Anolis sagrei: one gene and its partners. The protein of the gene in region 3 binds, or shares a complex with, the protein of the main gene of each other region. Links are inferred from orthologs where the notes say so. Each region holds a gene or a part of one and is shown on either strand. Other genes may lie near its edges.

The links.
Region 1: the proteins of ITCH (region 3) and TXNIP are in contact, whole or in part, in a crystal structure (PDB 5CQ2), measured with the Homo sapiens proteins. The link is inferred for Anolis sagrei from reciprocal best matches to the Homo sapiens genes ITCH and TXNIP. Residues at the interface, in NP_001244066.1 of Homo sapiens: Glu485, Arg487, Thr489, Tyr495, Val497, Asp498, His499, Arg502, Thr503, Thr504, Thr505, Tyr506, Leu516; in NP_006463.3 of Homo sapiens: Pro328, Glu329, Ala330, Pro331, Pro332, Cys333, Tyr334, Val337, Ile338.
Region 2: the proteins of ITCH (region 3) and ARHGEF7 are in contact, whole or in part, in a crystal structure (PDB 5SXP), measured with the Homo sapiens proteins. The link is inferred for Anolis sagrei from reciprocal best matches to the Homo sapiens genes ITCH and ARHGEF7. Residues at the interface, in NP_001244066.1 of Homo sapiens: Arg252, Pro253, Pro254, Arg255, Pro256, Arg258, Pro259, Pro260, Pro261, Pro262, Thr263, Pro264, Arg266; in NP_001106983.1 of Homo sapiens: Phe193, Phe195, Thr198, Asp201, Glu202, Arg215, Glu217, Glu218, Gly219, Gly220, Trp221, Glu223, Thr230, Trp232, Pro234, Asn236, Tyr237.

What each region holds. Positions count from the first base shown.
Region 1 is NC_090032.1:21,931,756-21,938,815, forward strand, and holds the start of TXNIP (thioredoxin-interacting protein), read left to right. Parts: upstream 1-4,047; 5' UTR 4,048-4,334; coding exon 4,335-4,587; intron 4,588-7,060. UniProt on the Homo sapiens protein: May act as an oxidative stress mediator by inhibiting thioredoxin activity or by limiting its bioavailability.
Region 2 is NC_090023.1:109,923,640-109,931,342, forward strand, and holds the start of ARHGEF7 (rho guanine nucleotide exchange factor 7), read right to left. Parts: upstream 3,014-7,703; 5' UTR 2,646-3,013; coding exon 2,481-2,645; intron 1-2,480. UniProt on the Homo sapiens protein: Acts as a RAC1 guanine nucleotide exchange factor (GEF) and can induce membrane ruffling. Functions in cell migration, attachment and cell spreading. Promotes targeting of RAC1 to focal adhesions. May function as a positive regulator of apoptosis.
Region 3 is NC_090024.1:210,561,239-210,568,244, reverse strand, and holds the start of ITCH (E3 ubiquitin-protein ligase Itchy homolog), read right to left. Parts: upstream 3,015-7,006; 5' UTR 2,919-3,014; intron 1-2,918. UniProt on the Homo sapiens protein: Acts as an Acts as an E3 ubiquitin-protein ligase which accepts ubiquitin from an E2 ubiquitin-conjugating enzyme in the form of a thioester and then directly transfers the ubiquitin to targeted substrates.

The DNA of each region.
Region 1 (7,060 bases), on a different chromosome or scaffold from region 3:
GGATGCTCTTTGATTATAGGTGAACTATAAATCCCAGCAACTACAACTCCCAAATTACAAAATAAATCCTCCCCCAACCCCACTAGCATAGTGGGTGCATTGGGTATTTGTGCCCAGTTTGGTCCAGTGAATGAAAATACATCTTGCACATCTGCTATTTAATTATGATTTATAACAGTAGTAAAATGACTGTTATGAAGCAGCAACAAAAACAATGTTATGGTTGGGGGTCACCACCACTGTTATGTATTAAGGGGTCACGGCATTAGGCAATGTTATGTATTAAGGGGTCACGGCATTAGGAAGGTTGAGAACCACTGGTTTAGGGCTTTGTAGGTAAGCACCTGCACCTTGAATTGGGTTCGGTAGGTAAACGGCAGCCAGTGGAGCTCCTTAAACAGGAGGATTGACCTCTCTCTGTAAGGAGCCCCAGTTAATATCCTGGACCAACTGAAATTTCTGAGCCGTCTTCAAGGGCAGCCCCACGTAGAGCGCATTACAGTAGTCCAGTCTAGAGGTGACCAAGGCATGGACCACCCCGGCCAAATCAGCCTTCACGAGGTACGGTCGCAGTTGGTGCACGAGTCTCAATTGTGCAAAAACCCTCCCGGACACTGCCGACACCTGAGCCTCAAGCGTGAGCGATGAATCCAAGAGGACTCCCAAGCTGCGGACCTGTGGCTTCAGGGGGAGTGTAACCCCGTCCAGCACAGGTTGCCACCCTAGACCCCTTGACCAAGAGGACCTCTGTCTTGTCGGGATTGATCTTCAGCTTGTTCCTCCTCATCCAGATAGACACAGCGGCCAGGCACTCGTCCAGCACTTGAGGGGCTTCCTTGGAGTTAGGTGGAAAGGAGTAGCAGAGTTGGGCATCATCTGCGTAGAGGTGGCACCCAACTCCAAAACTCCGGATGACCTCTCCCAGCGGTTTCATGTAGATCAGTGGTTCTCAACCTTCCTAATGCCGTGACCCCTTAACACAGTCCCCCATGTGGTGGTGACCCCCAACCATAATATTGTTTTGCTACTTCATAACAGTCATTTTACTACTGTTATAAATCATAATGTAAATATCTGATCTGCAGGATGCATTTTCGTTCACTGGGCCAAACTGGGCACAAATACCCAATACGCCCAAATGTGAATGCTAGTGGGGTTGGGGGAGGATTGCTTTTGTAATCTGGGAGTTGTAGTTGCTGGGATTTATAGTTCACCTTTAATCAAAGAGCATTCTGAACTCCACCAGCAATGGATTTGAAATTAATTTGGCACACAGAACTCCCATGACCAATGGAAAATACTGGAAGAGTTTGGTGGACATTGACCTTGAGTTTGGGAGTTGTACTTCACCTATAGCCAGAGAGCACTGTGGACTCACACAATGGTGGATCTGGACCAAACTTGGCACAAATACTCAATATGTCCAAATGTGAACACTGGTGGAGTCTGGGGAAAATAGACCTTGACTTTTGGGAGTTGTAGTTGCTGGGATTTATAGTTCACTACAATCAAAGAACATTCTGAACCCCACCAATGATAGAATTAGCTCAAACTTCCCACATGGAATCCCCATGACCATCAGAGAATACTGTGTTTTCTGATGATCTTTGGTGACCCCTCTGACACCCCCTCACGACCCCCTCAAGGGTCCCGACCCCCAGGCTGAGAAACACTGATGTAGATGTTAAAAAGCATGGGGGACAGAATGGAGCCTTGCAGGACCCCACAGGTCAACGGCCAGGAGTCCAAGCAGGCGTCTCCCAGCTTCACCATCTGGGTCCGTCCCTCCTGGAAGGACCGGAGCCACGACAGGACCGTGCCCCCGAGACCCATCCCGGAGAGACAACCCAAAAGGATACCATGATCGATGGTATCGAAAGCCGCTGAGATGTCCAAGCGAACACTCCCCCTGTCCAGCTCTCTATAGTAATAAAATAAAAATATAAAATAATAGCAATAAAATAACAATAGTAATATAAAATACTAGCAATAAAGTAATAACATAAAATAATAGTAATAAAATAATAATAATATAAAATGCTAGCAATAAAATAAAAATATAAAATAATAGCAATAAAATAACAATAGTAATATAAAGTAATAGTAATATAATAATATAAAATAATGGCAATAAAATTAAAATATACAATAACAATAATAATACAAAATAATAGTAATAAAATAAGAATAATATAAAATAATAGCAAAAATAATAATATAAAGTAATAGCAACAAAATAATAATAATAATATAAAATGCTAGCAATAAAATAATATAAAATAATAGCAAAAATAACAATATAAAATAATAGCAAAAATAACAATACTATAAAATAATAGTACCGTAATAAAATAATAGCAATAAAATAATAATATAAAATAATAGTAATAATATAAATAATATAAAATAATAGTGATAAAATAAAATAATATAAAATAATAGCAATGAAATAATAATATAATGTAATAGAAATAATAATAGTAATATAAAATAATAGCCATAAAATAACAATAATATAAAATAATAGTAATAAAATAATAATAATATAAAATAATAGTAATAAAATAATAATAAGTTATAATATAAAATAATAGTAACAAAGTAAAATAATAGCAATAAAATTATAATATAAAATAATACCAATAAAATAATAATATAAAATGATAGTAATAAAATAATAATAATATAAATAATAATATAAATAATATAAAATAATAGTAATAAAATAATATAATATAAAATACTAGCAATAAAATAATGGTATAATATAATAGCAATAATAATAGTAATATAAAATAATAGTAATAATATAAATAATAATATAAATAATAGTAATAAAATAAAATAATAGCAATAAAATTATAATATAAAATAATAGCAATAAAATAACAATAATAATATAAAATGCTAGCAAGGGAAGGCCCAAGTTGGCCCAGGCCTGAGGCCTTGAGGAATGATGGGAGTTGGAGTCCAAAAACACCTCAAGGGAAGGCCCAGGTTGGCCCAGGCCTGAGGCCTTGAGGAATGATGGGAGTTGGAGTCCAGCAACACCTCAAGGGAAGGCCCAAGTTGGCCAGGCCGGGCCTAGCGGGACCCCAGAAGCCTAAAGTAGAGTAGCAATCCCTGTCATGTCTTGGAAAGCGCCACTCCCTTCGCCTCGCCTCCTCATTGGCTCCCCTTGACTCCCCTTTCCCCATCCTCGTCCTCCGATTGGCTCTCCCTCCTGTCACTCCGAGGAAATCCCCCCGCCCCCGCTCTTACTACCTTCTCTCTCTCAGTTTCCCTCAGCGAGGCATCCTCTCTGCACACGCTGTCCACGCGCCGCCGGCCGCGCGCTGATTGGTCCGCCGGGTTGTAAACACGGCGCGTCGGCCAATGGGAGCGCTGTGCACGAGGGCAGCACGAGGGCGGCATGGAGATCAACAGGAAGGGCGGGGGTATAAAAGGGAGACTCCGGGGCGGAGCTGGCCAGACGCCGAGAAGGCAGCCGAGGGGAAGGAGCTCCTCAGCGCGCAACATAATCATTTTTTTGGGGCAAAAAGGGCTATTTTGGAGATTCTTTTAACATTATAGGAAATCATTACTATATTATACTAATATAATTTCCTATATTTAATATTATAGGAAGTTATTATTGGATAATAATTCATAATAATTACTAAAATTGGCAGTTTGGGAAATAAAAAATACTTCTGAGTTATTACTATTATTGTAATTAAAATATAGTATATAATTTGGATTTTTGGGGAATTAAAAATACTTTATTACTATTATAGTAATTATAATATTACTATTATAGTAATTTTATATAATTTGGATTTTTGGGGAATTAAAAGTACTTCAGATTTATTACTATTATAGTAGTATATAATTTGGATTTTGGGGGAATTAAAAATACTTTATTACTATTATAGTAATTATAATACACTGATAATTGATTTCAATTGGCTGTTATATATTGCATATAATTACTGAAATTATTTTAATTTTTTTTAGAAATTTATCGTAATTGGGAAATTTATAGAATCTAAAAATATTTGAGAAATTTATCATAACTGGCAAATTTAAAAGACTCAAAATACTTCAGAATTTATTCTAATTGGGAAATTTATAGAATCTAAAAATATTTTTTGAAATTTATTCTAATTGGGAAATTTAAAAGAATCTAAAAATATTTTTTAAATTTACTATAATTGGCAAATTTATATATATTTGCCCCCTTTTTATGCTCCATTGGGAGGCACAACAAGACCCCCGTGCCCCTTTCGTGTGGTCAGTTGACCCCTTGAGCGTTTGGCCCATTTGATCAGGAGGACAAAACCAAGGTGTGAGCCATGGTGATGTTCAAGAAGCTGAAGGTCTTCCAGCTGTCCTTCTCCGAACCAGACGAGAAGGTCTACGGGAGCGGCGAGAAGGTCTGCGGCCGTGTTGAGGTCCAGGTCTCGGAGGTCACGCGGGTCACGGCCTTGCGCCTCCTGGCCTGCGGGGTGGCCAAGGTCTGCTGGACCGCCGGGCCGCAGCAGCGCAAGCAGTGCATGGAGTACCTGCGCTATGAAGAGGAGCTACACCTGGAGGACCAACCTCAAGGTGAGCATCTCCTGATTTCCTACAGCAAGTACGGGCCAGATTTGGCCCTCCGGGTGGTCAACAGTAAAAATGTGGGAGTGGGGTTAAATAAATGGGAAGGTGAGCATCTTCTAAGGAAGGTACGGGCCAGATCTGGGCCTCCAGGTGGTTTGGACTCCCAAGTCAACAATGCAAGGGTGGAAGTGAGATTCAATAAATAGGAAGGTGAGCATCTTCTAAAGAAGGTACAAGCCAGATCTGGACCTCCAGGTGGTTTGGACTTCAGATCAACAGTGAAAATGTGGGAGTCGGGTAAAAGGAATGGAAAGGTGAGCATCTTCTAAAGAAGGTATGGGCCAGATCTGGACCTCCAGGTGGTTTGGAGTCCCAAGTCAACAATGAAAGGGTGGAAGTTGGGTTCAATAAATAGGAAGGTGAGCATCTTCTAAGGAAGGTACGGGCCAGATCTGGACCTCCAGGTGGTTTGGATTCCCAAGTCAACAGTGAAAATGTGGGAGTTGGGTTAAATAAATAGGAAGGTGAACATCTCCTGAAGAAGGTATGATCCAGATTTGGCCCTCCAGGTGGTTTGGAGTCCCAAGTCAACAATGAAAGGGTGGAAGTGGAGTTCAATAAATAGGAAGGTGAGCGTCTTCTAAAGAAGGTATGGGCCAGATCTGGACATCCAGGTGGTTTGGAGTCCCAAGTCAACAATGAAAGGGTGGAAGTGGGATTCAATAAATAGGAAGGTGAGCATCTTCTAAAGACGGTACGGACCAGATCTGGACATCCAAGTGGTTTGGACTCACAAGTCAACAATGAAAGGTTGGGGGTGGGGTTCAATAAATAGGAAGGTGAGCATCTCCTAAAGAAGGTAATCTTTCAGAGTTGGCCAGGCCCGTTCCGAAGTATCGTTCTCCCATTGCTAGGTCTGGGAAGTCTGCACAAAGGTCACACAATTTGGATGGTCAGTGTCAAAACCAGGCCGAGCTGGACGCTGAGAGTCTTGAGACAGAAGGACGGACAGGAGAAAGGAGCAATAATAATAACTCTTAATCGCTCCTGTCCACCTGCTGCTACTGGCGTTTGGCAGCTGTGACGATCTGGATCGAGGGTGTACGTATCGAAATTGGATCCAGACAAGACGGGAGTACATCCTGGTCAGCCAAAAGGCCAAACAGGGTCTAGGGTTACGGGTCTGGGCAGTGGCCAGGGGACCTTTTGCACAGTTAAGACTTGTGCCCGTACATTGAGAAGCCAGTCTTGGCCACGCTCTTGTTACATTCCCCGAATAGACTACTGCAACGCGCTCTGGGTGGGGCTGCCTTTGAAGACTGTTCAGAAGCTTCAAATGATCCAATGCAGCAGCGGGCATAGAGATCTTGTTTGTTGTGTATCAAGCAATAATAAAAAATAATAACATAGCTACTTTATAAATAACCACTTTGAGTCTCCTTCGTGGAGAGGAAAAGAGGAATATAAGTAAACATCGTAATAATACGGTTGTTTTGAGAGGTCTTTTTTGTAAACAGTTAACAAAAGAATGGGTTGCGGTTTCCAATGATTCATGGCTTAAAATAGATGTCAACAGAATCTGTTCAGCAAGAGATCAGTGGAATGAGCTCAACTGCTCATTAAGGAGTTATGTTGAATGATATGGGTGACTATATATATTATATATATATATATGTATATAAAAATGAAGATTCAAACTGCATTGTCCGTACAGTCAGGGTAGATCCAGCTTGTGTTGGATCTTTGGGTTCATAGCTTGGTTGTGTTTACATGTGTTTCTAGGCACTTATCTTATTTATTATTTATTATCTTGGTTTGCATATTTGAAAAATAGATACGTAGGGTGCACCTACAGTGTAGAAATGAATGCGGTTCGATGCCCTTTTGAAAGTGGTTTGACACCACTGTAATATATTATATGTGTGGTTTGATACCACTGCAATATATTATATATGCATATTAGGCTTGGGCAATCCGTGGTTCTAAATGGTTCTAAAGTACTTACAAAACTAAAGTTCTGGTGGTGAAAATTTCAGAACTCTTAACAAAACTTTCAAAATTTAATTATTATTTAATTATTGGTGATTTTAATGACAGAACCAATTAGGAACTGCCATTTATTATGAAATTTTGAGAGTTTTGTTAGAGTTCTGAAATTTTCACCACCAGAACTTTAGTTTTGTAAGTACTTTAGAACCATTTACAACCATGGATTGCCCAAGCCTAATGCGTATTATATGTGTGTATGTATATAGTGTAATATTTGTTTGTGGGATTAACATAGCTCAAAAACCACTGGACAAATTGACACCAAATTTGGACACAATACTCGTATTAGGCCAACAAGTGACCATCACTCATAAAAACACTGAAAAACAGAATAGAAGAGACTTAAAAAGCCCCAAAAAATTACAACACATGCACAAAACCACTTATACATATATACACACACACACGTAAGACATATACATTGGCTGGG
Region 2 (7,703 bases), on a different chromosome or scaffold from region 3:
AAATCTAACCAGATAATCTGCAAAAAAAGTTACTTGCTAACAAGCTTAGAAAGCATCTCAAAGATAACCTTGTGAATTTTTTTCACCCACAAGATATTTCTACCCTACACTTGAAGACTGTGTCATATGATGAACACAGTAGGTTGCCATTTTTAAGTGGATGGCTCAGTAGTATTTAATGAATGTGATGAAGTGGATAGTGTCCTGTAATTCAAAGTCAATTTGAGAGCAATTATAAAAAACAAACCACTCTTGCCAATAGCCACTCTGCCCCCTAAAGGCTACTGTCATGCAAATGATACTCAAAAGATACAAAGATCTATGAAATAATGCCAAAACTTCAGGTTAGGATATCCTTTCCAAAAGACAACAGTTCCTCTCTTATGTCAAGTTCACATTACCATGGAACGTCTTTAAAAAAAAAAACTAGCCTGGGCTTCCCATTCCCACCAATGAAAGAGAATAAAAGCAAAACAATATGTAGGTCAAAGTTCACCATAGTTTATAGAGGGGGGAATCAATGAACAAGCACCAATTTTTCCAGAACTGTAACCAGGGAAATTGAAATGCAATGTGCTAATCAGAATATCTGGTTCTTAGACAAAGAATAAAACACACATCTGTAATCACTTGAATTGAAACAATATTTTAAAGGCTTGTTGTGAGTTTTCCGGGCTGTATGGCTATGTCCCAGAAGCATTCTCTCCTGACGTTTTGCCCACATCTATGGCAGGCATCCTCAGAGGTTGTGAGCTCTGTTGGAAACTGGACATTCCAGATATATAAACCACACTTGCCTAGTTTCCAACAGACCTCACAACCTCTGAGAGTGCCTGCCATATATGTGGGCAAAATGTCAGGAGAGAATGCAACCCAGTAATTCCGGCCATGAAAGCCTTTGGCAACATAATATTTAAAAGAACAAACATTCAAGAATATTATGGTTTTTACATGAATATTATGGATTTTCCAAGAATATTATGAATCTTACAAAAATATTGTGAATTTTACATTTTGAGACAAGAAAAAAAACCCCACACAAACCAATATTTTTTCCAATTTGAACAGATTTAGAAAGCATCAAGTAATGAAATCTCAAAACTAAAATCTTGGAGAATAACACACACAAACTGTGCCTTTGCAAATTAGGTCAGCATGTTGCAACGCGAAGTGCTAGAGAGACACACCTCATTTAAAAAAGGACTTATTTAAGCAACAGGGACTGTAGTGGCTCCTTCTAGTCTACCCATCTAATATTGCACATCATTATATCCACATCATAGAGACTTCTGACATAAATCTTGTGAAGGCTTTGACATCCCATTCAAAACGAGGGCCCGAGAGCTTGTCCATCCTGTCAATAGCCAGCCCTGAGTGTGGTGGAGGCTCCTTCTTTGGAGGCCTTCTTTGGAGGCTGGATGGCCATCTCTCTGAGGTGCTTTGAATGCTATTTCCCTGCTTCTTGACAGGGGGTTGGACTGGATGGCCCACAAGGTCTCTTCCAACTCTAGGATTCTATGACTATCAAAGAGGCCAGAAAATTGGCCTTTGGATCTGAAAAAGACTCCTAGCATCAAAACCATGCGCCTTGTTCATAGACCGCGAAGGGATCCCATTGGAGGCCCTTCATCCCTGCTGTAAAAGCTTCCTGCCTCTTGGCCTTGATGTGATTTCTCATTAAAGAACAAGGGATGCCCTAAAACGAGCATGTTTTCATTCAAACAGGATGGGGGGAAAAGAGCCACCATCTGCTGTAGATCTATCAGGTGGGGCTGAGCATCGCTCCTAGGGCAGTGCACGGTTTTGTGGGCGATCTGGGCCCAACCACATGTGTTTTGTCATGATTGAGAACCAAAGGAAAGCTCCTTTTGGGAGGGGTCCACCTCCCAAGGCAGGCAGGAGCTGCTCAGCCCCAAACTCTGTCTCCCTCCCAAGAGAGAAGCCCCCTCCCATGCCTTGACAATGGCGCCTTCCCAGCGAGAAGGGAAGGATGTCAATGCGAGGGGGTGAGGAAATAGGGTGGGGAGGGGGCTCCCCTTAAAAAGACCCCCGTTTCCTGCCTCTGCAAGGCTAATGCGGGACAAAGGAAAGTGCTGGGCATTTCCCCCAGCCTCTCTTGTCTTCCCCAGTCTGGAGGGCTTTGCGGAAAGCGGATCGGGAGGGGGAGGAAAAGGGGGGTGTCGCTTGATCCTGCCCAGATCCGAAACTGTGCCATGCGGGAGATGAGGGTGGGGGGTGGGATACTGGGGGAAGCAAAGGAAAGGAGGAGAGAGAGAGAGAGAGACCCCCAACCTCATCCTATACCCAGGGGATAGTGGATACTAGGGGAAAGGAGCAAGGGGAGAAAGGGAGAGGGAGACCCCACCAGCCTCATCCTAGACCCAGGTTCCCCCTCTCAGTCTCAGTCTCAGTCTCAACCCCCTTCCCCCCCTTCCGCGCAGGGTTGGAAAGCGGGGGGTCCGCGTCCGATCCGGACTCACCTTGTCGATGGTGCCGGGGAGGAGGCGGTCGAGGAGCCTGCAGAGCACCACGCCGTCCTTGAGCGAGGCCTGCAGGAAGCCCTCCGGGTCCGAGATGCTCTTCTTGGGCGACTCCAGCACCCCCAGGGTGATCAGCCATGTAACGGTCTGCTCCGCGGAATTCATGGCTGCGGCGGAGGAGGCCAAGCAGAGGAAAGGCGGCGAGGGGAGGGGAGCCAGGCCCCGGAACCCTTTATCCCAATCCAATCCAGGGGGGGGGGGCAGCAGGGCTGCACAAATAGCACGGCTGGGGGCGTCTAATTTCTCAATAATCGGAGGGGGGGGGCGGTTGATGTCTTGGGGAAGACCCCTCTGCCTGCCTTGCCTGCCTCCCTCCCTCGCTCGCTCGGCAGCCAGCCCACCTTCCTCCCGGGCTTCACATGGAGGAGGCGCCCCGCTCCGGGCCTGGCTGCCTCCTCCTGGCCATGGAGCCGCGGGGGGCCGGCCCGGTTCCTCCCTCCTCCGGAGCCTCTGGGCCCAGGGACAGGCGCCTCCTCATTACAGGCACACACGGACCTGCAGGGCCGCCACCGCCGCCGCCGCCTCTATCCTCCTCCCTCCTCCTCCTCCTCCTCTTCCCCTCCTCCCTCCCTCCCTCCTGCTGCCTCTCCATGACATCATTGAGGAGGGAGGGGATGGGGAGGGGAGGGGGAGAGGAGAGGAGGAGGAGGAGAAGGAGGCTCAGCCCCCCTCCTCTCCTCCAGGAGCCCCCGCATAAAAGCCGCCACCCTTGCCTTGGCCAAGGCGCTGAGGATGGAGGGATGGGTGTGGGTCACCCTTATGGGCACCCGCAGAGAGACCTGCCCCGCGTCTCCCTCTCTGCGCTGCGAAACCTGCCCCCCCCCCCGCCCTCAAAACCGGCGTCCACGGGATCCCTTTGCTTCGCTTTCCATCCCGAGGAGGGCGGGGCGGGGGGGGGGGGAGAGGATAGATGTAGGTAAGTAGGTAGTAGGTAGGTAGCTCTATAGACAGATCTAGGTAGATAGGCAGGCAGGCAGACAGACCTAGGTAGAGAGGTAGGTCTATACAAATAGACAGACAGATCGATCGATCGATCTAGGGAGATAGGTAGGTCTGTATAAATAGACAGATCTAGGTAGATAGGTAGGTCTGTGTAAATAGACAGATAAATAGATAGACAGGCAGACAGACCTCGATAGATAGATAGATAGATAGATAGATAGATGGATCTGTGTAAATAGATAGATAGATAGATAGATAGATAGATAGATCTAGGTAGATAGGTAGGCCTGTATAATTGACAGATGGACAGATAGATAGATCTAGGTCAATGGTTCTCAATCTGTGGGTCCCCAGGTGTTTTGGCCTACAACTCCCTGAAATCCAAGCCAGTTTACCAGCTTATAGGATTTCTGGGAGTTGGAGGTCAAAACATCTGGGGACCCACAGGTTGAGAACCATTGCTAGGTAGATAGGCAGGTCTGTAAAAACAGATAGCTAGCTAGCTAGATCTAGGTAGATAGGAAGGTCTGTAAGAATAAACAGACAGACAGATCTAGGTAGGTAGGTAGGTCTGTATAGATAGATAGATAGATCTAGTTAGATAGGTAGGCCTGTATATATAGAGGATCAATTGAGAGATAGATCTAGGTAGATAGGTAGGTCTATATAAATAGAGAGATAGATAGATAGATAGATAGATAGATAAGAGATAGATAGGTAGGTCTGGGACCAGAGTGAAGAGAGAGGGCCAGGAAGACAGTTCCACCTCATCTCCTGCGCTATGCTAAATAATTTAATATAATATAATGTACATATACATATAATATTTATAATATTATAATGTAATACAATATAATAATACTACTATGAATAATATGTTATTATAATTATATATTTTATATTACATGTAAAATTGCTATATTGTACTGTACCATTGTATTGTAATATTATTACAATAAGATGGTGTAGTACAATATGTAATATATAATACTGATATTGTGCTATGCTAATAATATAATATATTGTATGTATATATATCTTGTAAGCTGCTCTGAGTCCCCTTCAAAGTGAGAAGGGTGGCATATAAATGTCATAAATAAATAAAAACAGATAGGTAGGTAGGTAGATAGATAGATAGGTCTGTAAAAATAGATATAGATAGATAAGAGGTATATAGGTAGGTCTGTAAAAATAGACAGACAGATAGATAAGAGGTAGATAGGTCAGTCTGGATAGATAGATAGATAGATAGATAGATAGATAGATATAGATAGATGTGGTAGGTAGGTCTGTAAAAACAGATGGATAGATAGATCTAGGTAGATAAGTAGGTCTGTATAGACAGATAGATCTAGGTAGATAGGTAGGTCTATAGAAAAAGACAGATAGACAGATAGATAAGAGATAGATACGTAGGTGTGTATTGATAGGTAAATAGGCAGATAGAGTAGATGGATAGAGTTGGGCAGATAGAGAAATAGACAGATCTCGATCAATAGACTGATAGATAGATCCATGTATCTAGATAGAGAAATAGATGGCTAGATCTATGCACATGGGTAGATAAATGCACATGCGCTCCCTCCTCCTATATACATTGGGAGGGAGGGAGGGAGGGGGGCGCACCGCACACACCAATAGTCGCATCCCGCCAGGTGGCTGAAACACCATGTTAGAGGGAGGAGGGGGGTGTAGCGGCGGCGGCGGCGGCGGCCTTGGTGCGCCTCCCACGACGTGAACCAAACAGATCCACCCAGCTGTCACTTTGCAGCACCAGAATCCGAATTCAATGGGCAGCCCGTTGCCCAAGCTGTCAAGCGCTTGACATGCGATCTCTCCAATTCATTTTAAGAGCACTAAGGGAAAGGGGAGCGGCGGGGGGGGGGGTGTTATTTCAGCGGAGCCTCCTCCCCACCCCATCCCGTCGACCGACCATGCGGATCCCTCCCGGGCCACCTGAAGGAGCGGGGGAATCTATCGGTCACGAATTAGATTTCGGGTCTGTATTCAGCAGGCTGGGATCCGGCCTCGGGCGCCCCCTGGCGACGAATTGCTTTGCGCAAAGGCGCGAGTGAATGAGCTCATCCCATGGAAATAGCAGCAGCAGCAGCTAGAGGTAGGAAAGGAAACGGGGGGGGGGGGGGGGGGCTTGGGCTTCTTCCTTTTCCTGGCGGCAGAGAAACCTCACAGACAAATGAACTGGTTTCCTGTCTCTAGGAATAGATTTTTAAAGGTATATCTTCTCCCCCCACTTAAAAAAAAAAAAAAAACACTAAAAAGAGCAATAATTACCGATCTTAAAATACATGGAATCACTGATGCAATGACAAATAGACTCCCCCCTAGTCTAAAAAGATTTGAAAATAGACTACCAAAAGCATTAGAAATACAAATTGTTCATTAAACAGTTCCAAATGGATTAAACGTATGGGCATCTTGGCCTGATGTAAACATCAAAGCAAACTTTCACAAACATATTATTATATGTATATGTATTTATATCAGGCATGGGCCAACTTGGGCCCTTCAGTTGTTTTGGGCTTCAACTCCCACCATTCCCAACAGCCAATAGGCTGCTCATGCCTGATTTATATCCTGCTTTCTCACTCTAAAATGAAACCCAAAATGGCTAACAATACATTACACAATTTAAAACCTCAAAAACTTAACACTAAAATAGGATTAAGATAGGAGGACTTGTCACTGCAAGCTATTGTTAATTTTGCCAACTTCATGATATTCATGGGGGGCAATTTATTTTCCTCTATTGCATCCTTAAATATTAAGACTGTTTGTGGATTGTGGGGCAGTTGAAGCTGTAGAGCAGAAGGACCTGACGAATGTTCTGTAACATTTGTAAAATTATAGAGATGCAACAGGTAAATCAAATAACTGAGATAATTCAAATAGGAACCATGTAGATCAGTGATTCCCAATCTGTGGTCCATGGACTACCAGTGGTCCATAAGAACTAAAATATGGTCCACAGTCTCACCATTACTATACCGTTGCAACAAGAGTGACTGGTATCGCAAAACCCTCTTCTAGTGCCAAGGCTGATTAAATATGGTTTTCTGTGGGTGAGCAGATGGCGTCTACTGGATGTCATACGTTCTGGATCACAAACTAGAGCTGATGTGGTCTATCCAATGCAATTTCCTGAATCACCACCTCAGATAACCAAAACGAATCTAAAGTTGACCAAAAACTTATTTGTAACCCTTTTAGTACTAATGTTGGAGAGTGGTCCCTGGTCAAGTGGTCCCTCGTCAAAGAAAGGTTGGGAACCATTGGTATAGATAAACAGTGTGGTTACACATGTCTAAGTTACAAGTAAATGGGCAAAAACTATCAAGTTTACAAAAGGATCAACAGGACAGAAGAGTGCTGAGTCTTCATCCCTTGATGCACACATTTTGTTGATGTGATTGTTGTATGCCTTCAGGTCATTGATGATATAGGGTGATCTTAAGGTTTACTTTCCCCATCCATTACTGGTGTAATCCTTAAATATGAAGACTATTATAATCATAGTGTCTACTGAGAATTGTTACCCCAGATGTCCAATGTACTTCATTCCCAAGGAACTGCACAGAATGGATTGCAGACACCTTTTTTTTTATTCTGGTCAACCCTAAGGTGAGCCTATCATGGGCTTCTCTTGACAAGATTTATTGAAAGTATTTTGCCATCGGCTCCCTCTGGAGCTGAAAGAGTAGGACTTGCTCATGGTCACCGACAATTTTCTATGACAGTGTTTCTCAACCTGGGGGTCGGGACCCCTGGAGGGGTCACGAGGGAGTGTCAGAGGGGTCACCAAAGACCATCAGAATACACAGTATTTTCTGTTGGTCATGGGAGTTCTGTGTGGGAAGTTTGGCCCAATTCTCTCATTGGTGGGATTCAGAATGCTCTTCGATTGCAAGTGAACTATAAATCCCCCCAACTACAACTCCCAAATGTCAAAACACACACACACACCCAACCCCACCAGCATTCAAATTTGAACATATTGAGTATTTGTGCCAAATTTGGTTCGAAGAGTGGAAATACATCCTGCATGTCAGATATTTACATTGCGATTCATAACAGTAGCAAAATTACAGTTATGAAGTAGCAAGGAAAATAATTTTATGGTTGGGGGTCACCACAACATGAGGAACTGTATTAATGGGTCACGGCATTAGTAAGGTTGAGAAACACTGTTCTATGACCAAACAA
Region 3 (7,006 bases):
TTTATGACTCATCTGTTCACAGAAATTATTACTATTACTATAAGAACTTTCAAAAACCTCACATTGAAATTATTTACAAAATGTTTGCATTCTCTCCAAACAATTCCCAATCTTATAAAAGGAGGAGTACAAACTATCTGAACTGTGCCTAAACCAAAAGAAATTCTACCTTTTCTCTTCAAACAAAACAACAGCAGTGACGGAAACTAAGAACTGTTAATGTCAGTATAACAATATTATACTGCACTAACTATATTTTTCACTCTCTTGTACTCTTTTAAGAGCTCAGAGCAGCATTTTGTGTTTGTATACGTGCCTTCAAATTGCCTGTTGTCTCATAGCAACCCCCTGAATTCTATAGGGGTTTCTTAGGCAAGGAATACTCAGAGGCGGTTTTGCCAGTTCCCTCCTCTGAAATATAGCCTACAGCACCTGGTATTTATCAGCAGTCTCCCATCTGAGTATTCATCAGGGCTGACCCCACATAGCTTCCAAGATCAGACAGGATCTGGTGCCTATAGGCTATTTAGACGCTAGAGCCTCACAATAAACATGTGAGATGACAGGAAGGACACAAGAGAGCACCCAGCAAAAACCAGTTCACCGTTCATGCAGAAATTAGGTACCTTGGTAGGATAAACATAACAACAGTGTCAAAGGAGATTGTAAATAAACAGGGCCATGTGCCAAGCCGAGTCCTAGTTGAATAGGACTCCACGGCATCCCATATATGCACAGCACACCCACAAAGTGTCACAGCTAGGTGAGCATTTGATCCAGGGTTTTCCCTTCCAGACTAACCTACCAATTTATCCACTGGCTTCTTTCCAAAGATGGGCGGGATTTCCCAGTAAGTAGTAGCTAGTGCTGCTTTGATATGGCCACTAGATGACAGAGACACATGCAAACCACAGGGAATAAGAACAAGGAATATGTTTTGATACCAATACATCCTGAAGAGGTGGCAGATTAAAGAGCAGAAGAGGAACAGAAAATAGTACCTAGAGGCCTGCTGGCAAGTGAAATTAAAAACCTGGGATTTCCAAAAATCACATCCCTTATCAAATGACATTCCACCTTTCTTCAGACATAGGAGAATATTTTAACTATATTGTACCTGGCTTGAGGCATGAGGAGAGCTGGCTAACAAATACTGTATCATCATCATCATCATCACTACTATTATATTTATTTGCTTTATTTTTATCCTGGCTTTCTTGTGATACAGGGACTCAGGGCTGCTATGTATTTTATGTATTTATATTATATCCTGCCTTCAGCCACGAGGAGAGGCAGGTAACAAATAAAGTATTATTCTTACTATCACTACTACTATTATATTTATTTGCTTGGTTTTTATCCCACCTTTCTCCCTATACAGGGACTCAAGGCAACTATGTATTTAGTGTGTTTAAACTATGTTGTACTCTGCCTTGAGCCTTCAGGAGAGGCAGGTAACTAATACAAGGTGTTATTATTACTACAATTGTCATCATTATTTGCTTTATTGTTATCCCATCTTTTTCTAAATACAGGGACTGGGGGGGGGCAGTAATGTGTTTTAACTATACTGTACTCTGCCTTTGAGACATGTGGAGAGGCTGGTAACAAATACAAGAACTGTATTATTATTATTACCATTAGTTGTTGTTATTTGCTTTATTTTTATCTTACCTTTCTCTCAATACAGGCTACTCAAAGCAGCTATGTATGTTATCATTACTATTGCAGTTGCTGTTATTATTCTTTTATTAGCCTACCTTTCAATACAGGCTACTCCAAGCAGCCTGTATTTTATCATTACCATTAGTGTTATTGTTATTTGCTTTATTATCATCCTACCTTTCTATCAATACAGGGTACTCAAAGCAGCTATGTATTGTATCATTACCATTACTGTTATTGTTATTATTTGCTTTATTATTATCCCACCTTTCTCTCAATGCAGGGACTCAAAGCAGCTATGTATTTTATCATTACCATTAGAGTTATTATTATTATTATTTGCTTTATTACCATCCTACCTTTCTCTCAATGCAGGGACTCAAAACAGCTGTGTATTTTATCATTACCATTAGTGTTGTTATTATTATTTGCGTTATTACCATCCTACCTTTCTATCAATACTGGGTACTCAAAGCAGCTATGCACTGTATCATTACCATTACTGTTATTGTTATTATTTGCTTTATTATTATCCCACCTTTCTCTCAATGCAGGGACTCAAAACAGCTGTGTATTTTATCATTACCATTAGAGCTGTTATTATTATTTGCTTTATTATCATCCTACCTTTCTATCAATACAGGATACTCAAAGCAGCTATGTATTTTTATGCATTTTATCATTACCATTACTGTTGTTGTTATTTGCTTTGCTATTATCATCCTCTCTTTCAATACAGGGTACTCAAAGCAGCTATGTATTTGAACTATAGTATAATCTGTGAGGAGAGGCGGGTCACAAATTAAAATCATCATCATCATCACTATTATAATATATATCTCTGGACAACAGAAGGCCTCAAGATCTGACCAAACAATCGCCTATTATGGAGGGAGGGGGTGAATGAATGGCGGAATTAAAGAAAGAGGGCCTCTCCACCAAGGAATGATAGGCTTCAAAATACAGCCAGGAATCCAGGGAGCGGCGTGCCTCTGAGCTTTTGAGGGAGAGCAAAGGAAGCCAAGGGTTGGGGGTATTTCTTCTTCAACAGTATTCTACTGGGAGGCACCTGAGGCGACCCCCTGCCTCCAGGCCTACTCCCCCAGGCTTCCTCCTTCCTCCTCGTAGACAGCCATCAAGATGCCCACGCCAAAGTCCTCCGCCCCACAGCCCACTCCTCTCCCACCAGGCCCACCCCTGAGGCAGACCCTCCCTGGCTGCCCCTCCGGCCCCGCGGCGCACTTCCTCCTTACCAGCCCGACAGGCGACGGCTTCTCGCCTAAGATGGCAGCCAGTCCAAGTCCAACCTGAGGCGGCGACTCTCCAAAGTCGGGCAGCGCGGGCGCATGCGCAAGAGGCGCGAGGAGCACGAAGGTGGGCGCGGGACTACACGCCCCAGCAGGCCTCGGGAAGGCTCGCGCTCGCTCTGATTGGTTACCGCGGAAAGCCGGGAGGGGAGGGGGAGGGAAGCCTGCTGATTCGGGTGAGAAGGAAGAGCCTGGTTCGACTTGTGGGTTTCGCTTTGATCCTGTTGACGCAGAAGGAAGGGTTTTGACCTTTTGCCCAGCTGTTATGCCGCAACTTTCAAGTACACAAGTCCTTTTATTTCTTTGTGTCACGCTCATGTTTCCAGAAAGGGGCACTGTAGATTTAACACGCTTTGACACCGATTTAATGCTAGGGTAGTGGTGTGGAAATCATCCATAGGACAGATGGCAAGCTATTTAACCTCAGCAGAATGAAAGCCAAAACCATGGTCACAACAACATCTGTTAGAACTCCAATATGCTGATGATAATGTAATCTGTGCTCATTCAGAAGAAGACCTACATGCCACTCGAAATGCCTTGGCAGAAGCATACAAGAAGCGCGGCCTCTCATTTTTTTGTGTGTGTCAGGAGAAAATGCGGAGGCCGTGACAGACTTTGTATTTCTAGGTGCAAAGATTACTGCAGATGCAGACTGGCCAGGAAATCAGAAGACGCTTACTTCTTGGGAGGAGAGCAATGTCCAGTCTCGATAAAATCGTAAAGAGTAGAGACATCACACTGGCAACAAAGATCCGCATAGTCAAGATGCTGAATCCTGAAGATTTGTCACAAAGTAAGAGAAATGACAAAGATCCGCCTAGTCAAAGCCATGGTATTCCCTGTAGTCACCTACAGATGTGAGAGCTGGACCTTAGGGAAGGCTGAGCGAAGGAAGATCAATGCTTTTGAACTGTGGTGTTGGAGGAAAGTGCTGAGAGTGCCTTGGACTGTGAGAAGATCCAACCAGTCCATCCTCCAGGAAATAAAGCCCGGCTGCTCACTGGAGGGAAGGATACTAGAGACAAAGTTGAAGTACTTTGGCCACATCATGAGGAGACAGCAAAGCCTGGAGAAGACAATTATGCTGGGGAAAGTGAAAGGTAAAAGGAAGAGGGGCCGACCAAGGGCAAGATGGATGGATGGCATCCTTGAAGTGACTGGACTGACCTTGAAGGAGCTGGGGGTGGTGACGGCCGACAGGGAGCTCTGGCGTGGGCTGGTCCATAAGGTCACGAAGAGTCGGAGACGACTGAACGAATGAACAACAACAAAACAGGACTGAAGACCGACAGATCGCAGGTTCAAATCCGGGGAGAGCATGGATGAGTTCCCCCTGTTAGCTCCAGCTCCCCATGCAGGGACATGAGAGAAGCCTCCCACAAGGAAGTCATCCATAGGACAGATGGTAAGCTATTTAATATCAGCAGACTGAAAGCCAAAACCATGGTCACAACAACATCTGTTAGACCCCCAATATGCTGATGATAATCTGTGCTCATTCAGAAGACGACCTACAAGCCACTCGAAACACCTTGGCAGAAGCATACAAGAAGCTCGGCCTCTCATTTTTTTGTGTGTGTCAGGAGCGACTTGAGAAACTGCAAGTTGCTTCTGTTGTGAGAGAATTGGCCATCTGCAAGGACCTTGTCCAGGGAATGTCCAGGATGTTTTGATATTTTACCATCCTTGTGGGAGGCTTCTCTCATGTCCCTGTATGGGGAGCTGGAGCTAACAGAGGGAGCTCATCCATGCTCTCCCCGGATTCGAACCTGCAACCTGTCAGTCTTCAGTCCTGCCAGCACAAAGATTTAATCCACTGCGCCACCGGGGGCTCCTTGGTCTCTCATTGAATATCAAGAAAATCGAAGTGCACTTCTAGCAGTCACCAACCAATCCTTCTGCAATGCCAGAAATACAGATTTATTTATTTATTTATTTATTTATTTATTTATTATTTGAACTTATATGCCACCACTCCCCTGGGGCTCAGAGCGGCTTACAAGAACAGGCTAAAATTGAACACAATTTAAAAACAATTTAAAACAATTTAAAAACAGCAATCAAAGATTAATGGTGTAACATTAGAAAATGTTGACCATTTCCGCTATCTTGGCAACCACCTGTCCACAAAAGTCAACATTGGCACTGAAATGCAACACCGTCTCAGCTCTGTGAGTGCAGCATTTTTCTGAATGCAGCAGAGAGTGTTTGAGTATCAGGACATTTGTAGGGAGACCAAAATGCTTGTTTATAAAGCTATTGTCCTCCCAACCCTGTTGTTGCCTGCAAAACATGGACTGTACAAATGTCACACTCAACTCCTGGGATAATTCCATCAGTGCTGCCTCTGGAAAATCCTGCAAATTTCTTGGGAAGACAAGTGGACAAACGTCAGCGTGCTGGAAGAAGCAAAGCCCATCAGCACTGAAGCGATGATCCTCCGCCATCACCTCCACTGGACTAGCCACCATCTCCCAAAGCAGTTACTCTACTCCCAACTGAAGAATGGAAAACTGAATGTTAGTGAAGAGGAAAAGAGATTTAAAGATGGGCTTAAAACCAACCTTAAAAACTGTGCCATAGACACTCAGAACTGGGACGCCCTGGCCCTTGAGCGCTGTAACTGGAGATTAGCTGTGACGAACAGTGCTGTGACATTTGAAGAGGCATGAATGGAGGCCGAAAGGGAGAAACATGTCAAGAGCAAGACGCGTCAAGAGGAAGATGCGTTTCTCCCTTCCGCCAGTCCTGACCGAGACCATCTTTCATCTGGAAACCAACCTACTCACTGTGGAAGAACATGAGGCTCAAGAATAGATCTCCACAGTCACCTATGGACCTACGGTCAATACCTTACCCTTGGAAGGCCATCCTACTCGAACACAAATAATCGCTGATGATGTGTGATTGTGGTACAAAGCCTTTAGCTTTCTCTGCCAAAGAGTACTGCTGCCTCATGCAAACTACAACTCCCAAGGTACCATAACATTGAACCAGGACACTTAAAGTGGGATCAAACTATTAATTTTTACAATGGAGATGCATTCTCAAATGGTCCAAGGAACTTATTTTATGGAAATTCCATTCAGGTTGTTTACACCAAGCACCTCTAGTCATGCAGTAGCAAGACAGTTTTTACAAGAAATACTCTTGGTTTTGGAGATGTCATAACGAAACAAGTCTTTAAGAAATGAATTCATCTTGAAGCTTTGGCAGATAAGGCCCTTTCTACACTGTCCTTATATCCCAGGATCTGATCCCAGGTTGTCTGCTTTGAGCTGGATTGTATGAGTTTCCACTGTCATATAATATGGGATAAACACTTATTTTGTGTACATTACATTGCCCCACTGTTTTTTCCAATAGGTGTGTGAGCACCCCGCACCCCACCCTGCCGGACACAGATGGCCTCGATAAGCTGAAGGTTTGCCAGAATCTTGCCTGCCTATTATCGTCAGCACTCACCTTGTACATGGTGGGTTGGGACGAAGGATTCCTACTGATAAGAACTGAACAAAAGGGGGTTGCAGGGTGGGGACATGGACCATGATGTGAAATTGTCTGGTTGAGTGATGCCCCAAAAGGGTGGCACAGCACTGTGAAACTATCAAAGAGAATGTGCTATCATTGCTCAGGGTTCCTCCATTTTGGTGGCACCCCTAGAGCTTCAGTTCTCTGTATTATTCTATCTTTTTAAAGTGTTTCAGAATAAAACTTTCTGACTGCAAGAAATGCCTGGTTATTTTGATGGCCATGTCTCTAAAGCTATGCCTTTAAAGAGATTGGGGTGACAGGTGCACCATGTCAATTTGCATGATTGAGAGCAGGACATACATTATTGCAGTACTAAATGGATATTTAAATAGGAGAGGGCAATAAATGGTCTAAGCTGGTTGCTTGGATATATATTCACTGGAAGAGTGGAAAAGAGAAAGATTTGGCTTGTGTTGAAAAGCCAGCTATTAATGTAAATATAGTATATAGGATATCTGTGAAAATTGAGAAGTGTATATTTTTCAGAGTTAAATGGG